Linked DNA regions of Arabidopsis thaliana. The protein of the gene in region 1 interacts with the protein of each later gene in a pairwise test. Each region holds a gene or a part of one and is shown on either strand. Other genes may lie near its edges.

Evidence for each region.
Region 2: the proteins of 3xHMG-box1 (region 1) and RSZ22 interact in a two-hybrid assay, tested with the Arabidopsis thaliana proteins (one large-scale study listed by BioGRID).

Annotation. Positions count from the first base shown.
Region 1 is NC_003075.7:6,754,843-6,770,987, reverse strand, and holds 3xHMG-box1 (HMG (high mobility group) box protein), read left to right. Parts: upstream 1-7,488; 5' UTR 7,489-7,715; coding exon 7,716-8,021; intron 8,022-8,534; coding exon 8,535-8,941; intron 8,942-9,029; coding exon 9,030-9,135; intron 9,136-9,224; coding exon 9,225-9,290; intron 9,291-9,379; coding exon 9,380-9,550; intron 9,551-9,634; coding exon 9,635-9,726; intron 9,727-9,802; coding exon 9,803-9,887; intron 9,888-9,982; coding exon 9,983-10,090; 3' UTR 10,091-10,224; coding exon of another isoform or gene 10,225-10,684; 3' UTR 10,685-10,710; downstream 10,711-16,145. Other genes in the region: AT4G11100 (gelsolin protein), read right to left, coding at 1,012-1,322, 1,400-1,952; TBL23 (TRICHOME BIREFRINGENCE-LIKE 23), read left to right, coding at 4,767-4,983, 5,168-5,460, 5,555-6,343; WRKY41 (WRKY family transcription factor), read right to left, coding at 10,225-10,684, 11,063-11,191, 11,333-11,685; MTSSB (mitochondrially targeted single-stranded DNA binding protein), read left to right, coding at 14,758-14,818, 14,906-15,063, 15,320-15,528, 15,832-15,932, 16,005-16,064.
Region 2 is NC_003075.7:15,300,169-15,315,680, reverse strand, and holds RSZ22 (serine/arginine-rich 22), read right to left. Parts: upstream 9,138-15,512; 5' UTR 8,914-9,137; exon of another isoform or gene 8,910-8,913; intron 8,711-8,909; 5' UTR 8,699-8,710; coding exon 8,610-8,698; intron 8,507-8,609; coding exon 8,418-8,506; intron 8,244-8,417; coding exon 7,991-8,243; intron 7,912-7,990; coding exon 7,777-7,911; intron 7,654-7,776; coding exon 7,617-7,653; 3' UTR 6,646-7,616; downstream 1-6,645. Other genes in the region: UTr7 (UDP-N-acetylglucosamine (UAA) transporter family), read left to right, coding at 51-194, 285-449; CSLC5 (Cellulose-synthase-like C5), read left to right, coding at 3,345-4,064, 4,172-4,480, 4,569-4,859, 4,943-5,056, 5,148-5,792; AT4G31570 (nucleoporin), read right to left, coding at 9,645-9,747, 9,812-9,914, 10,012-10,147, 10,241-10,896, 10,970-11,756, 11,857-15,512. UniProt on the Arabidopsis thaliana protein: Sequence-specific RNA-binding protein probably involved in pre-mRNA splicing. In vitro, can complement efficiently splicing-deficient mammalian SRSF7-depleted HeLa cell extract.

The DNA.
Region 1 (16,145 bases):
ACATTTCAATTTATTTGAATCTTGAGAGCTTTAGCTGCAAATTATTTGCTTAATAAATCAAAAGATATTGTTTTACACAAATGAAAACGTGACATAAAGAAATTTCACATGTGATTTAGATTTACAAAAAACGCTTAACTGATTCTATTTAAGATGTATTAACTTCATAATCAATAAGCTTCTGATAATATTTATTGCCAGATTCTGATAGACGGATAGTGTACTGGCTCCTGATCTTAAATGGTTTCAAAAGACTTTTGTGGTCTTATGATTATCCATTTTTCAGGATTGTCTTTCATATTTGCTGGCTCTAAAAGTTTAAGGACTGTCTAATGCTGATTTCAAGGGTCAGATTCAGGTTTATGACGACTTTAAACCTCTATACCGCGGCATAGACAACTCAAGCGACAAGCTAGTCGAGAAGGAGCTGCATAAGCTTAGTTTGAAGCATGTGTGATGAACACTACACAGAGAAGAGCTGTTGCACATATTCATGGCATGGCAAACAACAGATCAGCAAGAGAATCAAACTCACTAATGCCAATCTTCCGGAGATCTTCCAGAACCTTAACACCAGCAGTTCCCGGAACTTAACCTCGTAAATGGATGATTATCCGATGATTCGGAAATTATTTTGCCACGGAACTTTCTTATTAGTTAGTACTCAAGAGTTAGTTTACAAAAGCTTTCATTAATTATGTAGAAAAAACTAATCCATATATAAACAAGATGCGTATACAAAGCCAATTTGCGTTTGCAGTATTCAAATGCAAATGCAATTTTAGTTATGGTGAAATTGTTGTAACACAGAAAGTTTCAGCTATTATTATACTCATGAATGAATAATTGATTTGATAGTAGATAGAATAGTTTGTTGTAGTTCCAGAGATTGTTAAATAAACTCCTGACAAAAACAGAAAGCAATATGTAAGAAGATTTCCATAACTAGCTTAACTTAAGAGTGCAGCTTCAAATTTACTTCTTTTGGCTCTCTGTTGCATCTGAAATGTTCTAAGGCTTGTTGGAATCCTTCCCGGGACCTTTCGGGATTGCCCATTCAGGCCAATTACGAGGCAGCTTAAGCACAATCTCAGCGCCGTCTGAAGATGATGATGATGAAGATGACGATGAAGGAGAAAAAGGCGGTGGATGATTAGCAGATACCGGAGTAAAGGTTTCTCCCGAAGCTCGGTTCTCAGTCGCTGAGTTTCCTCTGTTCCTGCCTTCTTCTTCTTGGTTTCTATCACCAGACCGATGAGAGCTTATGTTACTCTCAATAGGTGGATTATTATCATTTTCATCATCACTTATCATTATCGCATCTGCACACAAAGATAGATTCAAAAGAAATGTCATTGTAAACTAAACAACACTTGGGTACAGAGATGTCTATGTATACCTGTCACAGCATTGTTCACATTCTGATTAGCCTCGTTCTCTCCTTGACCAATAAGATTATCAGTCTCTCCAACCCCTGAGATTACAGCACTTTGAGTAACCGAAGCTACTACTTCCGCATCATAGAGTGACTTCAAGTAAGCACATTCCTTTTCAACAACATCAAACTTCTCAGCTAACTCAACATACTTATTCTCCATCTTCACTAACTCTTCTTCCTCTTTCTTCTTCCCCAACAAAAGCTCCTGATTCTTCGACTTCAACTCATCAACAATAGCAGTTCTCTCACTCTCCATTGTCTTCTTCATCTCCTCAAAAGTCTTCCTAACCTTAGCCTTCTCCCTTCTCTCTTTCATACATTCCTCAAGCAAGCGTTTGTTACTCACTTCAAGCTCCTTAGCTTTGTTCTCATGATGCAACTTAATAGCCTCATAAGCTTCCTCAGCATGCTTAATCCTCTCCTGAAGACTCTCATAATCTTTCAACAGAGTCTCATGATTCTCCTTCAGAATTTCATGCTCCAAAGTCATCGTTTTCTCTAAACCAAACATCATCTTCTTCTCTGATTTGTCCTAAACCCAAACCTGAAACAACATCAACCAATTTCTACAGATTATTACCAAACTCATAAGCTTAATCAAAAATTCTGCAAAAACCCTAAATATCCAAGCTTTATGTTCTCTTTATGACTGAAATGCAACGAAGATGAGAATTAAACCAGATTTATGAGCTCAGATTGTGGAAATCGAAATGGGTTTCGGAGGATTCAGAGAGAAAATGGTGAGTAACAGGGAAGAGAGAGTGTGGTTAAAACTCAGATTCTTTCAAGCATTCAACAATGTAAACAGAATCAGATAGAAAGAAATGGAATTTTCTCGAGAAAATCTTACCAGGATTGCGAACTTGAAGAACCTAAAGAGAGAAGAAGACGAAGAAGCAAAGTCCTCCTAAACGTTGGTTAATGATAACGTAATCGAAGATGACAGATAATGTTTGTATGTATTTAAGTAATATTATTCAAATTAATTAATTGTTTATTCCATGTGACCAAAAAAATAATTAATAAATTGTTCATTCTTAAGCTAATTTAACCCAAACCTTTTTTTAATTTAATCCAAACCTTGTAACTGATGCGATGTTTTTTTTACTAGAACTTTAATTTTCTGTTTTTACCGTTTTATATATGGCATTCAGTAGGTCTGGGTACGAAACGGATATCCGGAAAAATTGTGATATTTGTTATTCGATTCGTTTTAAACGAATACTTGATTTTGTGATTTGCTTTGCTTTGCTTCGAAAATTTCCGGATATCCGGAATTTCGAATATCCAGAATTTTTTGTGATATTTGCGGATATCCGCTTTGATATATTTAAATATTAAAAAAAATCTATATACTATATAACTATATCAGATATTCAAAGTTTTTATTTAACATGCTTTCAAAATAAAAACTAAATACTTGTTGGTACCACCAGTCTACAAAATGTTATCAAACTAATTCCGAAAACTAAAACCCGATAGTTTTTGATGTCGTTGATCAAAACATAACATGAGAAAAATGATCAAACAAACATTTTAACATAAAAACGTAAAATAGCAACAATACACAAACTATTATGATATATATATAGATATAACTATATTTTCTAATATATATATAAAAAGATACGGATCGAAGCGGATATTCGGTTTTTTTTTTTTAAAATTTGTTATTTGATTCGGTTTTTACGAATACTACATTTTCCTATTTGCTTTGGTCCAAAATCTTACGGATATTCGGATTTTTCGAATCAAACCAAATCATATACCGAATCAAAGCGGATCGAACGAATATTTTGCCCAGCCCTAACATTCAGGTTAACAACAGAAATTAAAGGTATTCTAACATTGTAACATTAATGTATGTTTTCGTATAAAAATGAAAGTTTAAATATCAAATTGAAGTTTAGGTTAAATCAACTGTGGTATAATACGTGTATAAATGCAGCATAGTTCAAACTAAAGATATGAAAAAACCAATTTTCCGTTTTTTACATAACATTTGTGCAAATTCCTATACTATTAAAAGAGAAATATAAATTTGTTTCAATTTGAATTGGATCGGGTTATGTTAAAAAATTAACATAAATTGACCTGAAATTTAAGTAATTGGATTTTTGGCAAAACAAAATTCGGAATATAATATGAAAATCAATGTTTTTAAACCCGATCTGGACAGTGAACCGGACAACAGTTTTTTTTCTTCTACGCATCGTTTGTTTGTATTATTTATATATATATATATATATAGTGATATGATAACTTCCCTAAAATTAGCTGAATAATTAAATGAAAAAAATTTCAGTTGATTTAACATTGAATTTTTTTCCTTGTTTTTTTTAACCCATTTCTCCACATTTTTTTGTAGTAGTTTAGTTTCGTAATTTCTGCAGTCACAACTTTTAGTAATGAGTTATAAACAATTACAATCAAGGTTTTTATAGTAAACACATCTTTTACTAAAACCACGTAGAATAATTGGAAATCAAACATAATTTTTCTAAAGCTCCTAAATTTTTTTAGTTTGTCCTTAGAAATCAAATATATTTTTGAATCTTTTTTATCTAATTAACCGCAATATCTATAATCTGAAAGTGTTAGGACCGATTGGTAACAAGTGTTATTTCTAACTATATCAATTTTGGTTGTAGAAAATTTTGGTGTAAGGAATTTGACCGTAGAAAATATAGAGACTTTTGCAGTTAAAATTGCAGATGTGAAAATTTTGAAACAATTGGTAAAAATTATGAGTTTAGAAATTAAAACTTTAAATAATATAAACGATTAGATTAGTTGTGACATATGCGATACAATTTTTTTTCATCTCTACTGAAGAGATCGTTTTTATTGATATTGACACAATTGATGACGGTTTCATATCATTAAAAATGATAATTTAGAGAATGTTTTTTCCGATTTTAAATGATGCTTTCAACTTTCAATATAAAAGTTAAATGTATTTAATATTTTTTGACCAATAATATTCTATAGTATATTTTTTATTGGTTGACTTAGATATAGTTACTTATGCAAAAAAAGGTAAATTAAACTAAACTTTTGTAATATGTGTAAAAAACCTTAAACATTACTTAAAATCAGAGAGAGAATAATTACGGTTGTTTAGAATCCTCATTAATCATTCTCTGTTTCATTTATTAACTTTCTGTATATCATTAACCCCACAAGCATTAAATTACTCACTAATCTTTTTGGATTCTATTATTCATTGGTTTATCGCTTAGGCAATAAGTACGGAATCAAAAACATTCCACTTTCTGACCAAAAAAAAAAAATCGTATATCTCTCAGCGCGAGGGAAGAAGAAGAAGATGAAGCTAAAATGGGAATCAATCTCTAATCTTCAACAAAACACATATCTCATAAAACTCGTCGCTGCAACACTTATAACTTGTCTCGCTTTTCGTTTCTTCGTCTTCCGCTTCGGCCAATTTTCCCCAGTTCAAGTGTCGGTGACCGGAAACTCCAATTCCCAGATTTCTCCGACGTCTGTTATCTTATCGGATAACGAAGATCAAATTCCCGTCGGTAAGATTTCAATTATATCAATAACATTAACGATTTCGCTGTGTAGAATTTTGTTAACCTTGTTTTTTACGGAAACTTCTGAGATCTAGGGTTCTTAAAGATAGTTTACAACTTTAGAAGAGTTTTAAATGGTTCATTAGCTTCTGTTAGTTTGTGATGATAAGAATCTGTTTTGTTGTATTAGATATTGAGGTGGAGAAGTGTGATCTATTTACTGGGAAATGGATTAAAGATCCTTTGGGACCAATCTACACGAATGAGTCATGTGGTATCGTTGTAGATGCTCACCAGAATTGCATCACTAATGGTCGACCTGATTCTGGTTTTCTCAATTGGAAATGGAAGCCTAATGACTGTTCCTTGCCTCGGTTTGATTCTCTGAGATTTCTGCAGCTTATGAGGAATAAATCTTGGGCTATAATCGGTGACTCCATTGCTCGTAACCATGTCGAGTCTTTGCTTTGTATGCTATCTACAGTAAGGTTTTTAGCTATTGCTTGCTAGCTATTTGCAGACTTGAGGATAATGAGATTTGTGATTGTAAGTTTTGTTTGTTTTTTCCATGTTTCAGGTTGAAAAACCTGTTGAAGTGTATCACGATGAGAACTATAGATCGAAGCGTTGGCATTTTCCTTCGTATAACTTTACGGTATCCAACATTTGGTCACCTTTTCTTGTTCAAGCTGATATCTTTGAAGACTCAAATGGTGTCTCATCAGCTGCAGTTCAGCTTCATCTAGATAAACTCGACAATACATGGACTGATCTATTCCCGAGCCTTGACTATGCGATCATCTCTTCAGGGGAATGGTTCTTGAAAACTGCGGTATACCACGAGAATGCTAATCCCGTTGGATGCCATGGCTGCCCGGAGAGTTCGAACATGACGGATTTAGGATTCGACTATGCTTACAATACGTCGTTGCGCCATGTTATGGACTTCATAGCGAAATCTAAAACTAAAGGCATGATCTTTTTCCGGACTTCGATACCTGATCATTTTGAAGATGGGGAATGGCATAACGGTGGGACTTGTAAGAAAACAGAACCGGTGGGTGAAGAGGCAGTCGAGATGAAAGTTCTGAACAAGATATTGAGAGATGTTGAGATTAATCAATTCGAGAGAGTGGTTACGGAGATGGGTCAGGAGAGTGAGAATCTAAAGCTTCTGGATTTTGCTGGCATGTTGCTGACTCGACCCGATGGTCATCCGGGTCCATATAGAGAGTTTAGGCCGTTTGATAAAGATAAGAACGCTACGGTACAGAACGATTGTCTGCATTGGTGCTTGCCTGGTCCGATTGATCACTTGAACGATGTCATATTGGAGATCATAGTGAATGGTCGAACCGGTAAATAACCAGTTTGCTTGTATGTAGTCAATGGCTTAAAAACTGGATGAATTGAAAACAGAGGTTTGGTATATAGGTCATGTAAATTTTGGTAAACATGAAGAGATTTGGTTAACAGCTAGAGTTTCTAATGAACCGGATAGATCACCTTGGATGAATTGAAAACCGGTTCGGTTCACGTAGCCATTCTTATGGATCAATTTATGTAAAATCTGATTTTTCTGGATTTGGTTTTGTTTAGTTTAATGGTCAATAAAATGGTGATCCAATCCGGTTTAGTAAGTTGGTTTGGTGGGCGAGTTCAACATTTGGGAAACAATAATCAGAAATTATCCATAAATAAGAAGAATCAAACTAAGATGATATATACCAGAAGACAGGTAACTCTGTGAAAATAGTAAAATTAAACACAGAGCTGTTAAATTCTGGCCAGTTTAATATTTGCTCCGGAAACTTGAACATCTCTCACTTTTTTTATATCTAAGAGAGTTCACCATTATGAAGCAATTCCAATTATAAACCCATCAATTTCTCAATAATAATCGAAGTTTCTCATCTACGAAGGCGACAAAAAAACCACCGAATCTTAGGTTTTGTTCATTCGAACGAATCCGAATTTCGCAGTCCTAATGATCGGATTTAATATTTGATTATACGCTTTCGGTGACACACCCTTCTTTAGGATACGAAAGAGTGCAACGCCTTTCCAAAGCAATCTTAATCACATTCTCAAAAACAAAACAAAAAACACTAAACGGAAAGTAGAAAAACTATGAAGAGGAAGAAGATGAAATTTTGTCGGCGTTGGAGACTGACTTGGATTAAAAGTATTAGGGTTTTGGATTTATAGAGAGAGGACGAACGGTGAGTCAAATTAGGGGAAGGCATTTATGGGCCTTGAACTTTAAGCCCATATTGTTATGGTATGTCAAATTTAAATCTTTATGGTATAAGACAAAAGTTATGGGCCACTTTTAGCAGAATTGTCCATAGTTTCTACAAAGACACTTATCTTGTGCAACACAAATACATGTACGGTATACTGTTTTTTCTTTTTTATAATTTAAAAACAGCACAAAAGATTTGATTGTACGTATAAAACGGCAAGGCGTTTTAATTTAGATACTCTTATTTATTTTTCTTTTGGTCGAAACAAAAAAGCGGCAAGGCGTTAAGATTTTAGAGAGAAAGTTGATAACTGCTTATCTTCTTCGGACGCCAAAATTTTCTTTAAATCCAGAAATGGAACAGTTTTGAATTTCAAAATGTTGACCGTTAAGCCTTTGTTTATTTAATAAACCCAGAGGCTCCACTAATCGTCAAAATCCCAAATTCCAAAATCTCCATTTCTCTCTCGCTCTCGCTCAATCTCTCTTCACAATGTCGACAGTTTCTTCAGATCCTGCTCATGCGAAGAAATCGAGAAACAGTAGAAAAGCGTTAAAGCAAAAGAATGAGATCGTCGAGTCATCACCGGTCTCAGACAAGGGGAAAGAAACGAAGTCGTTTGAGAAAGATCTGATGGAGATGCAAGCGATGTTGGAGAAGATGAAGATCGAGAAGGAGAAAACTGAGGATTTGTTGAAGGAGAAGGACGAGATCTTGAGGAAGAAGGAAGTTGAACAGGAAAAACTTAAGACGGAGCTGAAGAAACTGCAGAAGATGAAGGAATTCAAGCCTAACATGGTACGATTTTCTAGATCTGGCTCTGATTCTTCTTCACTTGTATTTCGCAGATTAGGTTTTTTGATAAAGGATTCGAGATGATTTTAATCTGGTTAATCTTATGCGTTATGGAGCTTGTTGATGGTTGATTCGCTTATTGATGGACCTTGTTGCTAAGTTCATGTTATGTGAAATTGATTCATGATGATTTTGGGGATGGATATATTCAGAAAATCTGATTAATCTTATGCGTTTAGGAGCTTGTTGATTGTTGATTCGCTTATTGATGAAGATTGAAGCTAGTTCAGGTTCTGTGAAATTGATTAAAGATGATTGATGGAAGTTTCGCTTAGATTTGAGACTAATCATCATTCACAGATGTTAGATTGATTTCTATGCTTCTGTTTAAGATAGAGATGTTAAATTTGGTGCTAAATCGATAGATTACTTCATGTTTCGTTGATGTATCATTTCTATGTTGTGATAATGTTTATTTTGTGATTGATTTTGGGAGTATTGTTGTTGCTTCCACAGACTTTTGCTTTTAGTCAATCTTTGGCACAAACTGAAGAAGAAAAGAAGGGAAAGAAGAAGAAGAAGGATTGTGCTGAAACAAAGAGACCATCAACACCATATATTTTGTGGTGTAAGGATAATTGGAACGAAGTGAAGAAACAGAATCCTGAAGCTGATTTCAAGGAGACTTCGAACATTCTGGGTGCTAAGTGGAAGGGGATTAGTGCTGAAGAGAAGAAGCCTTATGAGGAGAAGTATCAGGCGGATAAGGAAGCTTATCTTCAGGTTATTACAAAGGAGAAGCGTGAGAGGGAAGCAATGAAGCTTCTTGATGATGAGCAGAAGCAGAAAACTGCAATGGAATTGCTTGATCAGTATCTTCACTTTGTTCAGGAAGCTGAACATGACAACAAGAAAAAGGCCAAGTAATGATACTGATTCAAGTATTTAAATCGAGAACTGTTTTGTTTTGAATGATAAGTTATAAAACTGAATGAATTTCTTGTTTTGTAGGAAGATAAAGGATCCCCTGAAGCCTAAACAACCAATATCTGCTTACCTGATCTATGCAAACGAGAGGAGAGCTGCTTTAAAAGGAGAAAACAAAAGCGTTATTGAGGTAAGTAAAGAATTAGGAGTTGTCTTTTCTCAATGTCATTTGAAACTCTTGAAGCTAAGGTGTGTGTTGATGATGAATGATGATTATAGGTCGCTAAGATGGCTGGAGAAGAGTGGAAGAACTTGTCGGAAGAAAAAAAGGCTCCTTATGATCAGGTCTAGTTCATCCATACTCATCATAGACATTGATGTGTCAAGAAGTGAAGTTTAATAAAGGGATGTTCTTAACGTATGTGTAACAACAGATGGCGAAAAAGAACAAGGAGATATATCTGCAAGAAATGGAAGGATATAAAAGAACAAAGGAAGAAGAAGCAATGAGCCAGAAGAAAGAAGAAGAAGAATTCATGAAACTCCATAAACAAGAAGCTCTCCAACTTCTCAAGAAGAAGGAGAAAACCGACAATATCATAAAGGTTAATATACTAAACTCACAGTGCATTGAGCTATTTTGGGATATAAGTCAGTAACTAACACAACACATGTTTTCTTTCTTGCAGAAGACGAAAGAGACGGCGAAGAACAAGAAAAAGAACGAGAATGTTGATCCTAACAAACCCAAAAAGCCTACTTCTTCATACTTTCTCTTCTGGTATATACTTTAAAACCCTGAATCCACAAAACAATCAGATGCTAAACTGGTTTTATAATCTCAAATCTTTTTACAGCAAAGACGCAAGAAAGAGTGTGTTAGAAGAACATCCTGGGATCAACAACTCAACTGTTACTGCTCACATTTCATTGAAATGGATGGTATATTATAAATCATGAAACTCGAATCCAACGAGTAAGATTTTATCACTGTTAGTTGTGAAATTGAGTTGGTTTTGGTTACAATTTTGTTGTAGGAACTTGGTGAAGAGGAGAAACAAGTTTACAATAGCAAAGCTGCTGAGTTAATGGAAGCTTACAAGAAAGAAGTGGAAGAGTACAATAAGACCAAGACTTCGTCGTAGAGAAAGAAAAATTAGAGAATGTTCAAGTTTGCTCATATTGAACATCTCTACTTATGCAAAATGACTCTGCTACTTAAATCGCTAGGCGCTAATCGGGATTATATTAATCTCAAGAATATTCAATACTGTACTACTTAAATCGAATTGTGGAAAAAAGTGGGGAAGCCTGTGTTAATCTCAGCCGTTGGATCAAATTGAAAATTAACGTCGAAGATTGGAGAACTTCCTGTGGAAGTATTTGTTGAGATCAATCCAGTGAAATCCGACGGACCAGAACTTCCCACGTGGTGGTAAAACGTTCCACCACCGTTGATGGACTCGTAAGTGTATAACGGCGACGTGACGGGGAATGAGAAAGCTTCGCTTCCAAGTCCGCCGGTACGTACGGTAAGACTGGCCCTGAGATTCTGGTAATTTACTGCTACTGTGTGTTTTGGTTTGGTTTCTCGTTTCTCTGGAAGTGGGATCCCCTGTGAACAAGTGTGTGTTCCTCTGTATGTTACTTCGAAGATCGTTGGATCACCGTCCGATCTTTGGACTTGTTTCGTAGCCCAACAGTACTGTGTGTTACGAAATGTGCATCTGTAATAACTCCTGCAATAAAAACACAAATTAGTCCTAAATTAGTAAAACTAAAACTAATTTTTTCTTCTTCTTAAAGCCACGTAAATTTAGCCAAAAAAAACTATCTGATTATATACAAATCCGACCTTCATATAGCAAACTCGGATAATAATTTTAAATATCTAATTTATCTTGTATTATATTCAGAATTATTCATTACATATTCGATATTTAAATTATGCAAAATAGTTTTTAATATGAGAATACACTTTGAATAGTAATTTTAGGTATATATTACTCATATAATTATACTCAACATTTATCCGCTGCTATTAACCAATCTTTTAACAAATGTACTATTCGTAAACATGATGATTATGATGATGATGATAGAGTATGATGATGTACCTTGGGAATTTGGCGCCCAAAATGTCTTTCTGGCCATATTTTCTCCAGCTGAAGATATCGTCATGAGGTCCTTCTAAGCCTCTCTCTGGGCTAATTCTCACTTGCTCTGTCCACTTTGGCAACATCTTCCTGCAAATTTTCATTAATTGTCAAATCTCTAATTCAAAAAATCTGGCTATTTTTTTTGAATTCTAATATTATTATTATTATTATTAAATTTTAATAAGCTTTTCTCTTCTTTATAACGCTAATTTAAGTTCAAATTTTTACCTCTTTTTAGAACTTAAGTTGAATTCTTTCGATCTTACATTGAAAAACTCTTCGCTTCTCGGATTTCCGGTGATCGATGCTGGAGATCCTGGAACCTTTCCGGGATGAGCTAGGGGATCAGGCGCAAGCTCTATCGTTGGATTGTGTTGTGTGGTGGATCCGTTGAGCATCAAAATAGCTTTTTTGAAGGAAGAAACTATGTTATGTAAGAGATTCTCCTTTATCTCCGTCGTCAAATATGAAGAAGAAGCTGACAACGATGGAGAAGACGAACCCTGAAGCTGCTTGGCCGCTTTTAGTCCATGAATTAGCTCGTTTAGCAAACTCCTCCGCTCCCAATTCATCATTTCCATGTTACTTTTAGTGTCTTGAGTAAATTCGAAAGGCGGTAAAACCCCGGTTTACGGTGACCGGAAGAAATAGTTATGAATTTTTTGGAAAAACTTTTGACATTGAAGGTGAAGAGATGTGATAGCTTTTTAACTTTTTTATAGTAAGGTTTAGATTAAGAACATGTGATTGTGGTTTAGGAAAAAGATGTGAGATTTTTGGTATTTGAATGATGAGAATGTACTAAAACGAAGCGTGTTCTTTTGGAATTTAAAGGTTTTAAAAGATATGTTTGAAAATTTGACCAAGTGAGCAAACTATTAAACAAATAGGAAAAAGATTCAAAGTTGAGAAAGTCTTTGGTCTTCATTAAGAATATATCGTTTCAGAGTGTATAAGTGGTGGTGTTTACTATAGGTCAAATGCTGACCAAATCAACTTTGGGTTTATTTTAGTTTAACCAAGTTGATTAGTTATTTAAATCTAGTGGTTTACTAAATAATTATATTATTAGGATAGAAATAAACTGTACCTTTTCCAAGTATTAACTTTGTTAAGGTTCTTTTTCAATATCTATCTGCAAAATGTACTATTACATTGATTTCTATTTTGGTAGCAACAAACCATTTCTTGTATAACTTGTTATTCTATTGACGACAACCGTTTTTGTATCATTTATTTTGTTTGTGTTCAACATCTTCAGATAGTCTACCAGATTTAAATATGAAATATATAGCATAGCAGACTAGCAGTTATAGCACAAATATTAGATACCAAATCTCAATTATAAAATATAGTACAAAATCAGGATGAGCTAACTAAATAAGTTCAACTGTATTTTGACATTCTAATTAATTTCTAACATTTAAAGATGTAAACAAAATTCCATGATATCTTAGAAAGTTACAGTATGATTGTATGAAATGAACCATAAACTATTACAGAGAAAAGTGAGATGACACATACATTCATAATTCAATACAAGATCGTAAAAAAAGGTTTCTGCTGACCAAGTCCATCCATCGTCAAAGACTCAAAGTGTATCAAATTAAAAGAAGTTCCATCTGAAATTCCATATCTCATGATTGATCTGTAACTTTACTGCCATTAGTTGATTTTTTGTCTTAATGGACTTGGAAGATTAGTTTTTGCTATAACATATTGAAAGTATATCCGTTTTCATTACTAAGTCCACGTACCTACGTGTTGTGTAAAGTTAAATACGTTAATGTGACATTGTGATGCATTAGTGTATACTTAAACTATAAACAAATATTTAGAGTCTTAAAAATCTTATCTTATTATATAAAGTATGGTTTTCAAAGTTTCTAACTCATAGGATCGTGTCCACGTGTCAAGTCAAACGATCAGATGTTTACATGTGTCATTTAAAATTTAACTTTTTTATTCTCTTAAAAAAATAGAAAATCTTAAAAAGTAAACAAATTTACATATGCTAATTAAGTTACTAACTCATAGAATCGTGCCACGTGTCAAGTCAAACGATCAGATGTTTACATTTGTCATTCAAAATTTAATTTTTTTATTCTCTTAAAAAAAATAGAATCTTATTATATAAAAATTAAGATACAAAAATTTAACTTTTTTATTCTCTTAAATTCAGCATCTGCTATTTAGGCGGGTCTAAGATACAAAAATTAAGTTTTATCGATAGAAATTTGTATAATAATCAATATATTTTTCTTGATATTTAATTTAATAATTATTGGTTTAAACAAAATTTCAGTCTTATCCATTCTATTTTAATTATACACACTCAATCTTATGAATGATATTTGAATTCTAAAAAGTAACCGATCATCATTCTATATTTAATTTAATATCTAGAAAAGAAAAAGAAAAAATAAATTTATATCTTACACATTCAATTTTGTAATACAGTTTAACTATCTATGTCATCATAATAAACTCGATTTAAATTCTACACACTTCATATTGAATGATAACATTTTCATATCAAAATAATATTTATGACATATCAAATCTATATCCTATTTAGTATTAAAAATAATTAAAAATTAACAAAACATAATTAATAGGCCTAGGCATAATACCCCAACCCTAAGAACCGATCCGAACCCGAACCCAAAATTTTCAAAGACCCGAGCGGTTCTGAACTTCAAAACCCAAAAAACCCGAACCTGAATAGGTATCCAAACATATCTCATATATAAGTATATATTAGTTATATTTATACTTGTATACAGAAAATATTAGGATTTTTTCGGATATTTTAATTATTTTTGTTTATTTTTAGATATATTCAAGCAAAACTACTCGTGTTGTTTTGGAAATATTTTAAAATTTTCAAGTAATTTAATAGATTTGCACACAAAATTTGATATTTTAATATATAAATAAACTCGAACCCTAACCCGACCTGAAATCTTAAATTACCCAAACGGGTCCTAAACTTCTAAACTCAAACCCAAAATAGCCGACCTGAACCTGACTCGAATACCAAAACGCTTAGGGCTAATACTTAATTAAAAAAATAAAAATCCACAAAAATATTTAAAACTAAACATTGTTAAAAATATATTTTTTATATATACGGTAATCTCTTAAGTTAATCTTACATCATACAAATTAATATCAAATGAGTTAAAATTAATAAATGAAAATATTCTCATTAAAAAAAATTGAAAAGTTAAATCCTATACGGGCCATGTCATCTCATTTCATTAATTCGTTAACGAAGGGTAATTTGGTAAGATCACATAGCACAACCTAAGGTTGCCGTCGTCGTCCTCTACCTCCGAAATGTTTCCCGTTCACATCGTTTTCGTTTTGTCCCCAAAACCCTAAAAATCTTCAACGCAGGGTTTAACGAATCAAACCTCAACGACGTCGTTTTACTCTTCTTCTTCTTCCTCTCTGTGTTGCGTTCCCTCTTTCACAAACTCACTGGTAAGCCATTTCCCTCTTACATCGGAATCCTGCTTTCGCATTTCTCAGCTTCGTCGTGATTTAATCGTAATTGGTTCAAATTTGTTGTAAACAACCCTAATTTCGAGGAATCATTTGCAATTCCCTCATTTTTGCAGACATCACATCCTTAGAGTCGTCCCAGAATGAACTCACTCGCCATTAGAGTCTCCAAGGTTCTCAGATCCTCTTCAATATCTCCTTTAGGTAATTCTTCTTTCTTATCACCTAAATCTTCTGCCTTTTTCTCAGAAGACTATCATTTGTTTCTTCTTGTGTTACTTTGATGTGTAGCAATAAGTGCTGAGAGAGGCTCTAAGTCGTGGTTCTCTACTGGTCCTATCGATGAAGGTGTAGAAGAAGATTTTGAAGAAAATGTTACAGAAAGGCCTGAGCTTCAACCTCATGGAGTTGATCCTCGTAAAGGTTGGGGATTTCGCGGTGTTCATAGGGTAAAAAGATTTGATCTTTAACACTTAAAAGTTATGCATTCTTAGCTGAAGAATATCAGAATCAAATTAGGCTTAGCTATAGCAAAAAACCCGATTGAAAAGGAACGGTTTTTATGTATGTGCCTTGAATAAGAGTTTGGAACTAGATTTCGATGATTTGAGTTATCTTGTTGCAATATCATTTCATATACTTATCAGCTTTTCAATGGCGTTCTTGCGGTTTTATGTCATTGTTGGTTTCCTTTGATTCATTCAGGCGATTATTTGTGGGAAAGTAGGGCAAGCACCGTTACAGAAGATCTTAAGGAACGGGCGGACAGTAACGATCTTTACAGTAGGAACAGGTGGGATGTTTGATCAGAGGCTTGTAGGAGCTACTAATCAGCCAAAACCAGCTCAGTGGCATAGAATCGCTGTGCACAACGAAGTGCTTGGCTCTTACGCTGTCCAAAAACTCGCTAAAAAGTAAGTTTTATTATATGCTTAACTATCTTGAACAAAGAAGAGTATTAACAATAGTTTAAGAGTTATAATTTCAGATTAACTAAGTGATAAATCCGTTGGTTAAGATATAATCAGCTCATATGTGTGTGAATGTGTAAAAGTGTACACAGAAACTCTTAAGTTGAATAATATCTTCTACATTATCTGTCTTCAATCTCTCTGTTTCGTCTTTAGTCGCTCTATGTAATGCTGGTAGCAATGTCTAAATAGGAAGTGAAAGGTGTAGGTTTTCATCTAAACTTCTTTGCTGGTGCTTTGTTACAGCTCGTCGGTTTATGTGGAAGGTGATATTGAGACTAGAGTGTATAATGATAGCATCAGCAGTGAAGTGAAGAGTATCCCTGAGATTTGCGTTCGTCGTGATGGTATGTATGTTCATATTGTTGATCCGGAACATCAATTTGTTGCTGAGTTACGATTCTCTTGCTTTGTTTTAGGTAAGATTCGGATGATCAAATATGGTGAAAGCATTAGCAAAATCTCTTTTGATGAGCTAAGTAAGTTATCATTTTTCATTCAGCTAATATTCGCAAAGAAAAAAGAGATAGTTGCTTGTGTTTTAATATTTGTTTCACATT
Region 2 (15,512 bases), 8.5 Mb from region 1:
AGAAACTAGTCTCTTCAAAATGTCAAAATCAATTTTTTTTTCTTTGACAGTGTTCTTATTTGCCGTTCTTGGTGATTCTCATTCTTTCACTGGTTATGGGCATTGTCCTCAACTTCACCATGTTTCTTTGCACCATTGTGAACTCTGCACTAACAACAACCATCGTTGGTGTTCTCAAAGGCGTTGGTTCCACTGTAAGTATAAACCCTCATTTGGCTCTCTTTCGAGATGAAATCTATAGAGGCAATCATTTACTAATCTTTGCCTCCTTTTTAATCTCCTAGACGCTCGGTTTTGTCCTCTTGGGTGGTGTTGAAGTACATGCTTTGAACGTGTCCGGTTTAGTGGTCAACACAGCTGGTGGTGTGTGGTACTCATATGCCAAGTACCGACAGAAAAAGGCTAAACCGGCTAAGCTAATGTCTGATTTGGAAGCTCACAAAAAATGAGAATTTCGGTCCGGTTTGGTTTCGTTTGGGAAGGCATTACCCCGGTTTATAGACTTTGCCACTCAAATCAATGATCAGAACGAACCGATGTATTTGAGAGTTGAACCAGGAAAATCGGTCCTAGAGTGAGATTTAATTTTGATGTGAAACTTCATTGATCAGTTAATTTCTCGTTTAGGTTAAGAAAAAAAAAAAATCAATACCTATTTTTATATGTAGATGCAATCATGCTAATGTATAATTGTTAAGTTGTGGCTGTAGCATAACCATATTAAACATTAGACATGTGTTGGTATCAACTATCAACTATCAAGAACACATGAAATGTTTGTTCTATTTAATGGTGGAAAAGTTTTTTAAATGGGTCTACTACTACTACTAATTAATACTTTGGATTAAGACATTTTGTGATAGAAAAAGACAGCACATAAGTCATTACAACGTCAGTGACCTCTGTTTAAGTCTTAATTCGTTTCCTTAAATCTACGGTTTGTGCATACGGATCATAACTAATATTTTTGGTTTTTGAATTTGCAAACGTTTTTAGTTGGACTTTAGAGATTTCAAATAAATGAAGATAAATAAATGACTCATAATTCATACGAAAGGCTATAGCATTTATAGAGTTCATTTTCTTGGCGTGAAATTAGTAGTACATTCATTTATTCCATGATTTTGCTCAGAATATTCAAATTTATAAAAGAAATGGACATTACTTTGGAAGAGTTGAAAAACTTATAAAACAAAAAACATAACAATAGAAAACTTTAATCGATTAAATGAATTATTGAATGATTGTATCCACTAATTACAATTATTGAAATAAATATGTATAAAGTAGAGGGTGTAAAGCACTGTATGAAAAGATTATGATAACATAGTTCAAAGAATATCATTATGAGTCATAACTAATAATCATTCACCAATACACAATCGATCATCTTAATATATACATGATTAATTTGGATTCATTTTAAAGCACACTTAAAAATATATCATGTCCAATAATTTGTGAATTATTATTTCATCAGAATTGTCATAGTTATCTAACCATTTGTGTTTAGGGCAGAACTGTGTCTGAGGCTAAATTCATTAAAAAATGTCACTAAATTCTGCAGTTTTTGTTTTTTTCCATCTATGACGTTATATAATAGCTAGCCAGTAATTATTAAAACCGTATAGAATATATTCTTGAGTCTAACTTTAATCTACATGACAAATTTTTAATTACTCAGCACCGATTGGTTTCTGTAGATGCATGTCACAAGCAACACAAAATAAAAAAAGGTATTACAAAAAAATAGTACTAACCTACAAAATTACTTATTTATAATTCTTTTGATCTTTCTCCTTTTAGCTTTTCCTTTTCTCTTATTAGTGTTTATATGATACTTTCGTAAAACGTTAGGTATTGTATAGTAAATAAAACCTTAAAAATGCCAACGAATATCCTTATCTTCTAGTGTTCTACATGTGTTGATATCACCACCGACAAGTATCTCGGGTAACCTAATTGTTGGTTGGAACTTTCAGAATTTTTAAAACTGAAAAATTGACATTATCCTTCTAATGAATCACATTCTTCTTTTTTTTGTCAAATACTTCCCTTTGTCAAAGGCATGCACCACTAAATTATCTTTTGTTTTACAAAATGACCAAAATTAGCGGCAATATTTTACGTCAACACTTGACCAATTTTGATTGTTAGAGAGCACTTTGTCAATAAACCAAAGTATAATGTTTCCCTCCTTACTCTCCTAATGTATAATATATATTTTGATTATAGAACTCATAGTTAATATTGAGTTGCATCCCTTTGTTTTAACAGTAAGGCTTTGACTTACGTTTGTGATTATACCAATTACCAAGTATGATCAACACTCAAGATTTTTTTTTGACAAGAATATAATAATGAAAATGCTTATGCTTTGAGTAAATTAATCAGGAAAACTTTTAACTCATGTTAATATAGTATTTTTAACAAATATGAATGGACTACAAAGAGAATTTGACTAAATGTATAAAATATATAATTTGGAAAAAACATGGAACATGACATGGGGAGCACGTAGGAGAAGCGGTGATAGCAAAATAGAGTGATTCACTTGAAACCGATTTGGTAGTATCTTTTCTTATAAACATGTTCCAATGTAACTAGTACATAGTTGGTCACAAATACAAATTTGAATTTGTCTTCACCTCAAATTGCCAAACAACCCATATGGTCCCCATCCATCAATGGATTTTCCTCAATTTTCTTTCTTTTGAATATATAACAAATTTGTTTTTTTTAAGAAAATACAAATATTTGTAATGAAGATCCATGACATGACAAGTGCTTGTGAAAGATTACAAAGAGTGATAATAAAAAGGGGATGAATTTTGCATGCTGAAGCAATCAAATAAGTAGCTGAAAGAGTAACACACACATGAAAGTGCAAGTGACACATCTTTTACAACTTCTCTCACTGATGATACCTTTCTTCCTCTTCCTCTGCCTTTGCTTCTCTCTCTGAGTCACTACACTCTCTCACCAACCCATCCTTCTCTCTGTCATTCTCTAAAAAAAGAGGTCCACTATAAATGAGCCTTGAGCTGTGGATGCTTCTTTGTCTGGTTTTTTAGAATATAATAAAAAACAAAATGGGTCTCTAGATTTCAGATTTCTGGGATCTGGGTGTTAGATTAATCTCTTTCTCTTCCATTATTAGTAGAGAAAGCTCACTCCTTTCACTCAAAGTTTCTACCTTTTTGTTTTCCTGAAAATGGGTTGTGTTTGAAATCTCACACTTTGAGATTTGGGTGTTTATTTTGGGATCCTTCTTACCACATTTAGAAATTTCAGCTAGGGTTTTCGATTTCTCTACTTCTCAGAGGAGATTTTAGAGGCAAAAGATGGCTCCAAGGTTGGATTTTTCAGATTGGTGGGCGAAAGACACGAGGAAAGGAACACCAGTTGTGGTGAAAATGGAGAATCCTAATTACTCTGTAGTTGAAATCGACGGTCCAGATTCGGCTTTTAGACCAGTGGAGAAGAGCAGAGGCAAGAACGCTAAGCAAGTCACTTGGGTTTTGCTTCTCAAAGCTCATAGAGCTGTTGGATGTCTCACTTGGCTCGCCACTGTCTTTTGGTCTCTCCTTGGTGCCATCAAGAAACGGCTTAGTTTCACTCACCCACTTGGCTCTGAGAAATTAGGCAGAGACAGATGGCTTTTCACTGCCATTAAGCTCTTCTTAGCTGTTTCCTTAGTGATTCTCGGCTTTGAGATTGTTGCTTATTTTAGAGGATGGCATTACTTTCAAAGCCCTAGTCTTCACATCCCCACTAGCACACTTGAGATCCAGAGCCTGTTTCATCTTGTGTATGTTGGTTGGTTAACCCTTAGAGCTGATTATATTGCTCCTCCCATCAAAGCTCTCTCCAAGTTTTGTATTGTGCTGTTCCTTATACAGTCAGTAGATCGTTTGGTACTTTGCTTGGGTTGTTTTTGGATCAAGTATAAGAAAATTAAGCCGAGATTTGATGAGGAACCTTTCCGTAATGATGATGCTGAGGGATCTGGATCTGAGTATCCAATGGTTCTTGTTCAGATTCCAATGTGCAATGAGAGAGAGGTATGCTCATTCAACTTTGGTATATCCAAGAAAGTATTCATCTTTCTCCTGCTTTATATAACCTTTTTGGTATCAGTGTAATGAGCTTTAGTCTTCTTCTTGTTCAGGTGTATGAACAATCTATATCTGCCGTGTGTCAACTTGACTGGCCGAAAGATCGAATACTGGTTCAGGTTCTCGATGATTCGAATGATGAAAGCATCCAACAGTTAATTAAAGCTGAGGTTGCCAAATGGAGCCAAAAGGGAGTCAACATAATCTACAGGCATCGCTTGGTTAGAACTGGATATAAAGCTGGTAACCTCAAATCAGCAATGAGCTGTGATTACGTTGAAGCATACGAGTATGTCGCAATCTTTGATGCCGATTTCCAGCCTACTCCGGATTTCCTTAAACTAACAGTTCCACATTTCAAGGTTGGTATTAACATTGGTTTCAATTTTCTATCATTGAAAAGTGGAGAGAGAGATTGCTAACATGTTAAAAATGTGATTTAATCTTCAGGATAACCCAGAGTTAGGTCTAGTTCAAGCTAGATGGACATTTGTGAACAAAGACGAGAACTTGTTGACCCGTCTTCAGAACATCAATCTGTGTTTTCACTTTGAGGTGGAGCAGCAAGTGAACGGCGTGTTCTTGAACTTCTTTGGTTTCAATGGAACAGCTGGAGTATGGAGAATCAAAGCCCTTGAGGAATCTGGTGGTTGGCTTGAAAGGACTACTGTGGAGGATATGGACATAGCAGTCCGCGCTCATCTTCATGGATGGAAGTTCATATATCTTAATGACGTCAAGGTACTACTTTTTATCGATTGTTTCTAAAAAAAGCCTTATTTATGTAACAAAATGAATTAAACTGGATAGAAACAAATCTATAGGTCCTTTGCGAAGTTCCTGAGTCCTACGAGGCATATAAGAAGCAGCAACACCGTTGGCATTCGGGACCTATGCAGCTTTTCCGCTTGTGTCTTGGTTCAATCTTGACCTCTAAGGTAGTGTGCAGCTTTTTTCTTCTTTTAGTTCAAATGTTTGCTAATCATCATGTTAATGACTTCTTCTGGTTCTCATTGGTTACTCTTGCAGATAGCGATATGGAAGAAGGCGAATCTGATACTTCTCTTCTTTCTTCTTAGGAAACTCATACTTCCTTTCTACTCCTTCACTTTGTTCTGCATAATCCTTCCACTCACCATGTTTGTTCCAGAAGCTGAGCTCCCTGTTTGGGTCATCTGCTACATACCAGTTTTCATGTCTTTCCTCAACCTTCTTCCATCTCCAAAATCGTTTCCTTTCATCGTTCCTTATCTCTTATTCGAGAACACAATGTCTGTCACCAAGTTCAATGCGATGGTGTCCGGATTATTCCAATTGGGTAGCTCTTACGAGTGGATTGTCACAAAGAAAGCTGGAAGATCATCAGAGTCAGATCTTTTATCTATCACCGAGAAAGAGACACCAACCAAGAAAAGTCAATTGCTTAGGGGAGTTTCCGACAGCGAACTTTTGGAGCTGAGCCAACTTGAAGAACAGAAACAAGCGGTTTCAAAGAAACCTGTCAAGAAAACCAACAAGATATACCACAAAGAGCTCGCATTGGCCTTTCTTTTGCTCACTGCAGCGCTTAGGAGTCTCTTGGCAGCACAAGGAGTGCATTTCTACTTCCTGTTATTCCAAGGTGTTACCTTTCTTCTTGTGGGTCTCGATCTCATAGGCGAGCAGATGAGCTGAGAAGAACAAAAGAAGATTCATAACTCGGGTCAATAAATCAGTGAGTTTGAATTTCCACTTCCTCTATGTTCAGTGGTATCCTCTGTAATGAGATTGTTGGAACCATAGTGGTAGGCATTAATTGATTTTCCGTTTCGTTTGTTTGTTTGTTATGTTGGTTTGATTCCTCCATTGTTAGGGATAGAGTGTGAGCCAGAGATTCATACATGTATACAATATCTGTAAAGTTGGAACATGTTGTTGGCAGTTAAAAGAGCTTCTGTCTTGAACTAATTTCAAGGATCATGTCAAATCACTGCAGAGAATTTATGTAATTTAAAGTCCAACCTTTGTGGAAAGAGATTGTAACTGTAAATAACTAACAAGAACCAGTTTTCTGACTAAACTGAAACAAGAGAAAGACCAATATTTATTGTATTCTCTGAGGATCTTAGGACATTCTCAACTTAGTGTCGGTGAAAAGTGAAGAAACGTGGAGCAAAAAAAGTGTCGGCAGAGGAAGTGGAATGAGGAGAAGCATAATTGCAGAAAAAAAGCAGAGGTCAGAGAGGTTTACGTCACATAACAATCAATTCAATGATGTGTAAGTGAAGAATGGGACCAAACAGATTTTAATTTGGTGGGTTTGTTGATGATTCTGGGACCGAACTAGGATCATGATCTTGTCTCTCTTGCTTTTCTAGGCTTTTAATTGTTGTCATGCCAAAACAACGTCTCCATGTCTACTTCGCAAGTATACTTTTATTTTTTCACTTAATTTGGGATTTATAGTTGCTGAAACGAAACCATAGCTAGTTGTTACGTGAATAAGAGCAAATCAGATTATGTATTCAATCTTCCTCTTAGGCAATTACTTTGCTTCACCTTCATAAAAGTGAACAATTTCACAACTATGCTTAAGTGAAATGAACACAAGTACCAAATGGTAGCAACTGATACGCATTTACAAATTCTTGACTTGCCTATATAAACCGTGAAATGCACAAAAATCTATCCAAGGACAAGAATGTGCATACTAAACACTATCACATAGCTACAATTATGCTAAACCTAATGCACAACATTCAGACCACACAAGAGGTGCTTCTGAGTGATGCAGCTCAAGTTCATGCAAAGAAGGTAACCTCAAAGCTGATGAAGTTTTCAAACAATAGCGCATCTCTAGGGTCGAAGATGAAGTAGAAGCAAGCCATGTAGGGATCCACAACCGTAGTTAACTTTTCCCATAGCAGGCCGAGTAACTAAACGAAGATGATTCATAGCAGAAGAGTAGAGAAGCAAGTAGATAAACAATGAAGCAGGCCGAGCAACTAAATGAAGATGATGTTAGGGATCCACAACCGTGGTTTAACTTTTCCCATACCAGGCCGAGCAACTAAATGCAGATGATTCATAGCAGAAGAGTAGAGAAGCAAGCAGATAAACAATGAAGTAGGCCAAGAAACTAAGGAAGATGCTTCATATGAGAAGAGTAGAGAAGCAAGTAGATAAGCAATGAAGCAGTAGTAGTAGTAGTAGACCCGAAGAAACCTCGACACGGTGGAAAAAGACAAGAAACGCTTAGGCATTTAGCAGAATTTCCAATCAAACATTATGTCTTTAAGAAACTAGGGTACGAATCAAGTGTTCTTTTACCTATTGGTAGATACACAACTACGTACGTTTCATATCCAAAAGCAAAAGTAGCAAGCTTTATCCAACCCAGCAGACCTAAAACATGTTCTCTTACTGAAATTCATAGATGATAGTAACTTCCCTTAGTCCCTCTCTTCTTCTCTTCCAAAGTATCCTCCCACACACTCGTTTTCTTGCAAAATCACTCACTCAGCTCCTGCTTCTGCGTCTTTCTTTCAGTCCATTTCTGAAGAAACAAGAACAGATGTTGAATTAGCATCTGAAGAAAATGTAAATGTTTATCTCTAAGAACTATAACCAAAACCTAAACACTGATAATGATATAGAGACTTGGGAAAAAGAAATTTACCCATTAGCATATGGCACTTCCTCACGCGCTCTGTATGGAGGTGGTGATCTACTGTAGCTGCGGCCACGGGCAGGAGGAGGAGAAGGACTGCGGCGCCTTGGAGGAGGGGGAGATCTTGCACGAGGGCTGTAACTCCTAAAACCAGAAAAAGGCAAGGTTACTTAATCCGTTCAAAATAAGGTACTAAGGTAACAAAATAAAAAGCATCACTGACCTCCGTCCATAGCTTGGGCTCCTTCTGTATCTTGGAGGAGTGCGACTACGGCTCTTGCTGCGACGCCTTCCAGTTCCACCACGGTTACGGCATTCACGTGCGAAATGACCAGTCTCACCGCATTCATAGCATTTCAAATCAGAGCCACCACGACCACCACGGCCGCCGCCACCACCTCCACGGTCACCACCACGACCGCCGCCACCACGCTCACCTCGATTGTGAGACTGTTCAACCCTCCAGCCATTCTTGCCTATCCGTTATCACAATATCCATGTCAAATTGTGAAGTTTCAAGTCAAAAGTAATTGCAAACCTCAAATTTCTCTCCTTTAAAAGATTCCACCAAACTTATTTTCCAATCCCAATCAAAACATCAACTTCTAAGAGAACAAAGCAAAATAGAAAGAATATGAATGCATCATTACCATCTAAAGCACGGATAGCATCACGGGCATCCCTAGGATCTTCGAAATCTAGAAAAGCGTAACCAGGTGGTCTACGGGCAACCCAAACACTGCACATTACATATGAACATTAGAGAGATGCAAAATTGGATACTTTTAACTTCAAAAGTGACAAAATTGTAGCGCGAACTGATTGATTGGATTGATTCTTACCTCCTGACAACTCCAAAGGCACGGAACTCATCCTCAAGTTCACGCTCAGTAACTCGCGGGTCCAAATTTCCGACGTACACACGTGACATTACTTCTGTAACCTGTCAATGGCACAATAAACCAAGGTCAACATAAAGGAATTCTAAATCTTTTCTAGTAAGACATTCGAAAGGATTTGAATTCATCGAGAAAAAATACAGAGTCACTAGATCCACCAAGTGACCCGATCAAATTTGAACAGATCGGATCAACGTTACCACAATTAAGAGTGAGAAGGAGATAAAGAAACTTGGTTGCGACCTACCTTGTGGGAAGAGCTGAAAGCACTCAAGGGGCAAAAAGAATGGCTTTTTCTGTGTTTTGCTTTGTGAAGAAATTAGGGTTTCTGAATCTGAAATTTGATGAAATACTTTCCAAAGGGTTTTGTAAGCGCGTTAACAAAATTTAGTAAATATACAATTTGGGCCTATTTATTGGGCTTAAAAGTAGCCTTTTCATGCCTTTTTTCAATAATATGTTAGTGTCGGTGATATTTATTTTTTCTCTGTATAGTTTGTTAAATACTTAAATGTGATCATTTCACGTATTTTGCTTTGTATTTCTGAAAATAATGAATAGCAGAATAGGGAAAAAGAAAAATAATAGAACTTCAAGTCTCTCTAGTTAAATCACACTTTCATTCCACAGCTACTAAATAAACTTTCTTTCTTATTCGTTTGAAAACCCAAGCAGTTTGTGATTCGGATCAATAAAAATGCTGAAACCACAGTTTGCTTGGTTAATATAAGCTAAACAATGAATTAAAAACAAAGACAAAGACAAAAAAAAAAAAAAAAAAAAAAAAAAAAAATTAGTGTTGGAGACGACAACACATCACCACTTTGATGAGCCCATGCATGCTATAACGAGAAACCAGCTGCAAATATACGATTAAAACACGTCTTAAAAGCTTAGCAAATCAAGCTACTCTTTGCAACTTGTTTTGGGATTAAAAAAAAAAAAGTCAGTAATGAGCTTACGAAATTGGAAGTTTGGTTAGACCACGAAAGCAGCCAAAAGAGCATGCAATATCGCCCAGTATAGCATGATCCCTAACCGTAAAGCAGGTTGTCTCATGAGCGTCCGATCACAAGAGACCCTGAAAAGTTCAGAAACCAAATAAAAGGGTCGTTTTTTGTTAGATCATAATTAAAGAACTTTACACTGAACGAGATCCATGGATGAAAAGAGTCTGACCATAAACCATCGACCATGTTAGTGATGGGTCTTGTGAATCTAGGAATGATTCTTGACGTAGAGAGTGATCTGAAACCATGAGCTAAAAAACAGAAAAAATACAAATGGGAATGTTACTAAGAAATGTTGTTAAAAGTACTAAATATTCAGAGACAAGTTTAATTACCTTTATCATCATCTTCTTCTAAGCTACCGCTTTGATCAGTTTGATCTGCATCTATACTAATGGCGACTTGATCCATATTTCCCTTACGCAAACTCCGGACTTGTGATGGAATCGATGTTTTTGTCCACTTGTTTATCTGTGATATCCAACAAAAAAAAATCCACAATTAAAAATTTATCATCTTGAGGCATCTGGAATGGTGTAACTATTTAACAAGCTCAAAGCTTACCAGAGGTTCCACTTCAACGATCTCTGACGTCGAGCTTGTTGAAATGTCTTGTTGGGATTCTTTCTCAAGTAAGAATTTCTCAAGAGTTGCTTCTTTCTGTCTGAGCTCAGCCACTCTACTCCTCTCGCCTTCAAGCAAAACGTCCTTGCTTTGTCCAACCAACCGTAATTCGTCTATTTCAGATAGCATAGACGCTATCCTTTTCTCAAATGTCTCCATGTAGTGGTTTATATGACTGTCAGCATCAGTGGACAGCGAATCTTCTATACCAAGTAGTGAAGCTATCGTGTCGAACCAAGACAGTACAGTTTGGATCTCTTCTGAATCTCTCTTAGTGCCCATCTGAGAAGCAGCAAGAGCCTCATTGGTGCACCTAGTGACTTCTTGTCTTAAGAAAGAAACCTCTGTATCCCGATCTTGCACTTGCTGTTGAAGTTTCTCGATTTCAGCAAGAAGATTTTCAGAGAGGTGATGGAGCTCATCGAATTTATCCACAGTAATTGATAGCTTTTTGGAAATCTTCCCACGAGAAGCTTCAGCTTTCTGCAAGTCTAGGTTCTTCTGTTGCACTTCCTGTTCTAATTCTGTAACTCTGAGTTTCAGATCCTCCATCTGAGACTCTTCCTCGTCAAGCGCTTGCATTAAGGCCTCAATTTCTGCAGGAAGCAATTAGGTATCAGCTATATATGTGGCGGTGCAAAAACAAAAGGGTAAAAGAGAAAAACTGACCTAGGTCTTTCGCAGCTAGTAGATCACTAAGAGATGTGACCTTCTCCTGTAATTCTGAGTGTGACGCCTGCCCTGCTAGCAGCTCTTTTACTCTCTCCTTCATAGAATCCCGTTCCCGAACCAAAATACCCAGCTGGTCTTGCATATCACGCATCCGGGCACTTGCAGATTGAAGATCTTCCGCAAAGATTTTTGCACCAGCCTGGGCTTCCTTAACTTGACCCACAAGTTCATTGCACGTCCTATTATTTTGGATGTCCTTTTCGTGTAACTCCCTTTGCAAATTGGCGATGATTACCTTCATCTCCTTTTCATTTCTCTCCAGAGTCTCAGCGTTCGCTACAACAAGCTCCTTAACAGCTGACGATAGCCTATTTACCATGGACCTGACAGATTCCATAGACGAAAAGTCCTCATCTACTTGGTGGAGACTCATATTAAAATCGTCATTTCCAACAAGTTCAGCTTTACGCCTTTCAATTTCCACCAACACGCTAGAACATGCTCCATGAAGCAAGGCAATTCTTTCACCAAGAGCGGCAACTTCAGAGTCCGTTCCTGTTCCAATTGACTTGAAAAAGGTGTCGATACTGTTGGATACAATATTGATCTGGTCGTGCCATGTGGCCAAGTGCTTGCTTACTTTCTCTTCGAGATGGCTAACACCAACCACAAATTGATCAAGGTTTTGGGAGAGAGAACCACAAATTTCGGCTATGTTTCCACCACTTGATGTCTCATGCAAGTTAATGTTAGACCAAGCAGCACTCAAGCGTGCAAAGATTTCCTACGCAGAAATAGGAAAAACAATATTCAGAAAATAGTCAGAGGCAGAAAAACCTTGAAAGTATATATACCATAATAAGCTGTTAAAATTATTTAAATACCTTGTCTACCAGATTCTCTGTACTGAGTTGAGGCAAGCCAGACAAATCAGTTCCAGTTTTCTTCGCACATAATTCCATATTTGCCTTCAGATGATGCAGAAACTCCATATCCATGATGAAAATATCAGCTAGGCAACTGTTGGTACCTGCGAGTATTTTCCTTAGAGAGTTCACACTGGTTCCACATGATAGCAGTTGAGCATATAGCTTATTCTTTTCTTCGTTGCTGACTGCTGATAAATTTTCAAAACGAGATATGGCTTCAACCTTTGCAGCCTCCGCTGCATCCTTCTCTCTGGAAAGTTGCTGGATTTCATATGTAAATTTTGATAGATCCTCTTGCAGACTATCGTTTGTCTCCTGAACTTCGTTCAACTCAGCAAGTAGCAACTCAGCTGCTCTTCTAGATTTTCTCGACTCCTGCTCAGCAGAAGTCACGGTTGTACTCATTGTTTGAAACAGTTGGGAGATTCGTTGAAGCTTCATGACTGGATCATTTATGTCACCTTCATCACCAATATCAATGCTATTTAACGCATTCAACGTCATGCTCAAATTACCACTTCTTTCCTGTAAAAGATATTCTGTTTCTTGCGAATGAATTTTCAACAATTGGCACTCAGACTCTAGGGATTCTACCCTCACAGAATAAGATTCCAACTCCCTAAATTTCTTTTCATTTTCCAAGAGCTTTTCATCTCTTTTGATAATCTCTGATTTCAGGCGACCAAGCTCAGCGTTCACCTCTTCAATAGTTTGCTTCAGGCTATCCCTTTGCTGGACCAAAGCCTTCCCTTTCCTAACAGCTACATTTAACTTCTCCCTTACAGAAGCTGACTTCTGCTCTTCTTGTTTAAGAAACTCCTGCAGTTCTATTATTTTCTTATCAAGTGCCTCATTTTCCGCAACCAAGGATTGTTGTTTTGCCATGTACAAATCTCTTTCTTCCCTTGTCAGCTTTTGAACATGCAGTGCCTGATCCAGATCTTTTGTTAGGGAAGCTACATCAGGTGTCTCTACGACTGCTATGTCTCTACTTGTTGCTTCAACTACATTAGAATCAGACAATTCAAAATGTTGCCCATGAGAAGTTGCTCCATGTGCACCCAATGACTCTCCGCTTCTAACATCAGCATCTGATGGACGAGTTTCACAGACGTTGTCATCGGTTTCACCTGGCAAACTAGATTTCACCAAATTCTTATAATAGTCTATCAGCTTTCTCAGCACTCCATCCAAGTTCTCAGAATTACTTGCTAAAGCCAAATCTTGCAAGCCATCTTCCTGTATAACATCATCAATCATGTACCTCAAACTTAACAAGTCTCCTTCAATAGTCTGAAAATGTTCTTCATTCCCAAGTTTCTCAACCAATTTTTCATGCAAATCTTTCACTTGATTCTGCAGTTTCTCATTCTCAACTTCAAGGTGAATGCCCCTTGCAGAAAGACTCTCATGATCACCAATCAAACTTTCCAGCCTTTCAGAAAGATTCACCCTCTCACTAACACATGATTGAAGATTTCCCTCGACATCACCTACTTGCTTTTGTGAGACTTCCAAATCAGTAGTTACTGATTGACAATAGACTTCAAGGTTATCAATCTTCTGTTGGAGATTATCCCGGTCATGTGTAGCCTCTGTAATTGTACTTGCAAGCCATTCAATCTTGTTTTCCACTTCCATGGAGTGTAGCTGTGGAGGGATATCAATATTTTCCAGGAGTTTTTCCCATCTCTGAACCAAAGTATTCCTTTCCATCAAGGACTGCTCCAGCATTTCATTCTGTTCAGCCAATCCATAAAACTTTCCTTTGAGCTCCTCAAACTTGATCCTCAAGTCATCCTCAGAACTTGTGCCAGTTTGTACATCCTCCCTCCAGGGCTCTGAGAGAACAAATCCCGCACCTCCATCAGAACTCTTCTGATCCCAACCAGAGGGGCGCGAAGAGTTGCCGTTAGCTGATCTTGCTAACCACTCCACCTTTTCCAATATATCTCGGGCATGAAAATGCTCTGGGAGATCCAAATCTTCCAAAATTTCTTCAATTCTATGAAGCAGAGAGTCTTTCAGAAGAAACGATTCTCGCAATGCAGTAGCTGAGTTTCGGATGTATGACAGCTCAGATTCTAATGCTTCCACACGTTCACCTGCCTCAATATAGGTCTTCAGTTTTTTTTCAACTTCTACAAGCCTAGCGTCCTTCGAATTCAATTCTTCTGAGCACTTCTGCAGTTTAGCAGAGGCTTCGGCCAACGACTGCTTGACATTGTCACGCTGAACAATCAAACCTTTTCCTTTAGTAACAGCTATGCTAAGCTTCTCTCGAGTCGATAATAACCTCTGCTCTGATTGTTCAAGTTCATTAGATTTATCTTGTAACTCAGATCGTACAGCCACAAGGGACTCCTCAGCCTGGGTTAAACTTTCCCTGAGACCAGCTATTTTAGTCTTATGGTGCAGTAAACTCTCCTCGATCTCCATCAACTCATTCCCCTTGGCCTCTAACTGTTTTCTGAGGAGATTAGCTAATTCCTCAATCTCTATAAACTTCTGAACAAGTTGGGAAACGAGAAACTCCACCTGTGAACTAGGAGATTCAAAAATCACTCCACTTTCAAGTTCCAGAAGACCCTCAACCTTCTCAACTAACTCTCGAAGTGAAGTGGAATCAAGGCTTCGCTGCGTCATTTCCTCCATATCGTTTGATTTACTCGACAAGTCTGACTGTAGCTTATCAATCACAGACTGAAGTTCAAGCCTCTCAGAAAGAATTTTTCGCACAGCCTCCAACAGATTCTCAAAACTACCATCTCTGAAAGGATCAAAGACAGCTACATTTTCAACTTCAAGACTGGTCATCTCCGCTGACCCACATGATTCAGTAATCAATTTCGTCAGATCAGCATAGACCTTCTGCATTGAAGAAGCTGTAAATTCATTCTTCTCAAACAGAGTATTGAAACTCTGCTTCAATTCCTCATATTTGTTTGAGGTGGACTCATGCTTCACATAAGCTGCTTCTAGTTTTTCCTTGAGGTCTTCAATCACGTTTACAGCCACATCAACAGAACCAGATATGCGTTTGGTCATATCTAAGCCAGTATGAGCTCCAGAAGTGCCAGATCTGAGTAAACAATCATCAAGCCTCACAACTGCTTCACCAAATTCAGACATCAATGATGTCAATTCATGTTCTACCATCATTGCCCGCTCAGATTCATCCTGCAAGGCCACTAACTGTTCTTCCATTGTGGACAAAAAGCTAGTTAAATTCTGCTGTAAGTTTTCCAGCTGAATTTCAAGCTCATCAATTCTCAATGAGCAATAATTCAGCTTCTTATTGAGCTCCGTGTTTTCTACACTGATATTATCATTTCTTAGCTTTAATGAATCACAGAGAAGTTCAAGATCATGGTTTTTATGTTGCAGCTCATACGAATAATGCTTCAGAGCTTCGAACGAAACCTTACTCTCAATAGTATCTGCCTCCAGAACATTAATGTGGTCCTGATGTGATGCAAACTCAACATTTAACTCCTCGAGTCTTTGATTTGTCGATGTCCTGTCATCATTTAACTGGTTGAATTGTATGCCAGCCTTCCTAGCATTCAACAGTAACTGATCAAGCAAACCTCTCAAATTTCTAATCTGCA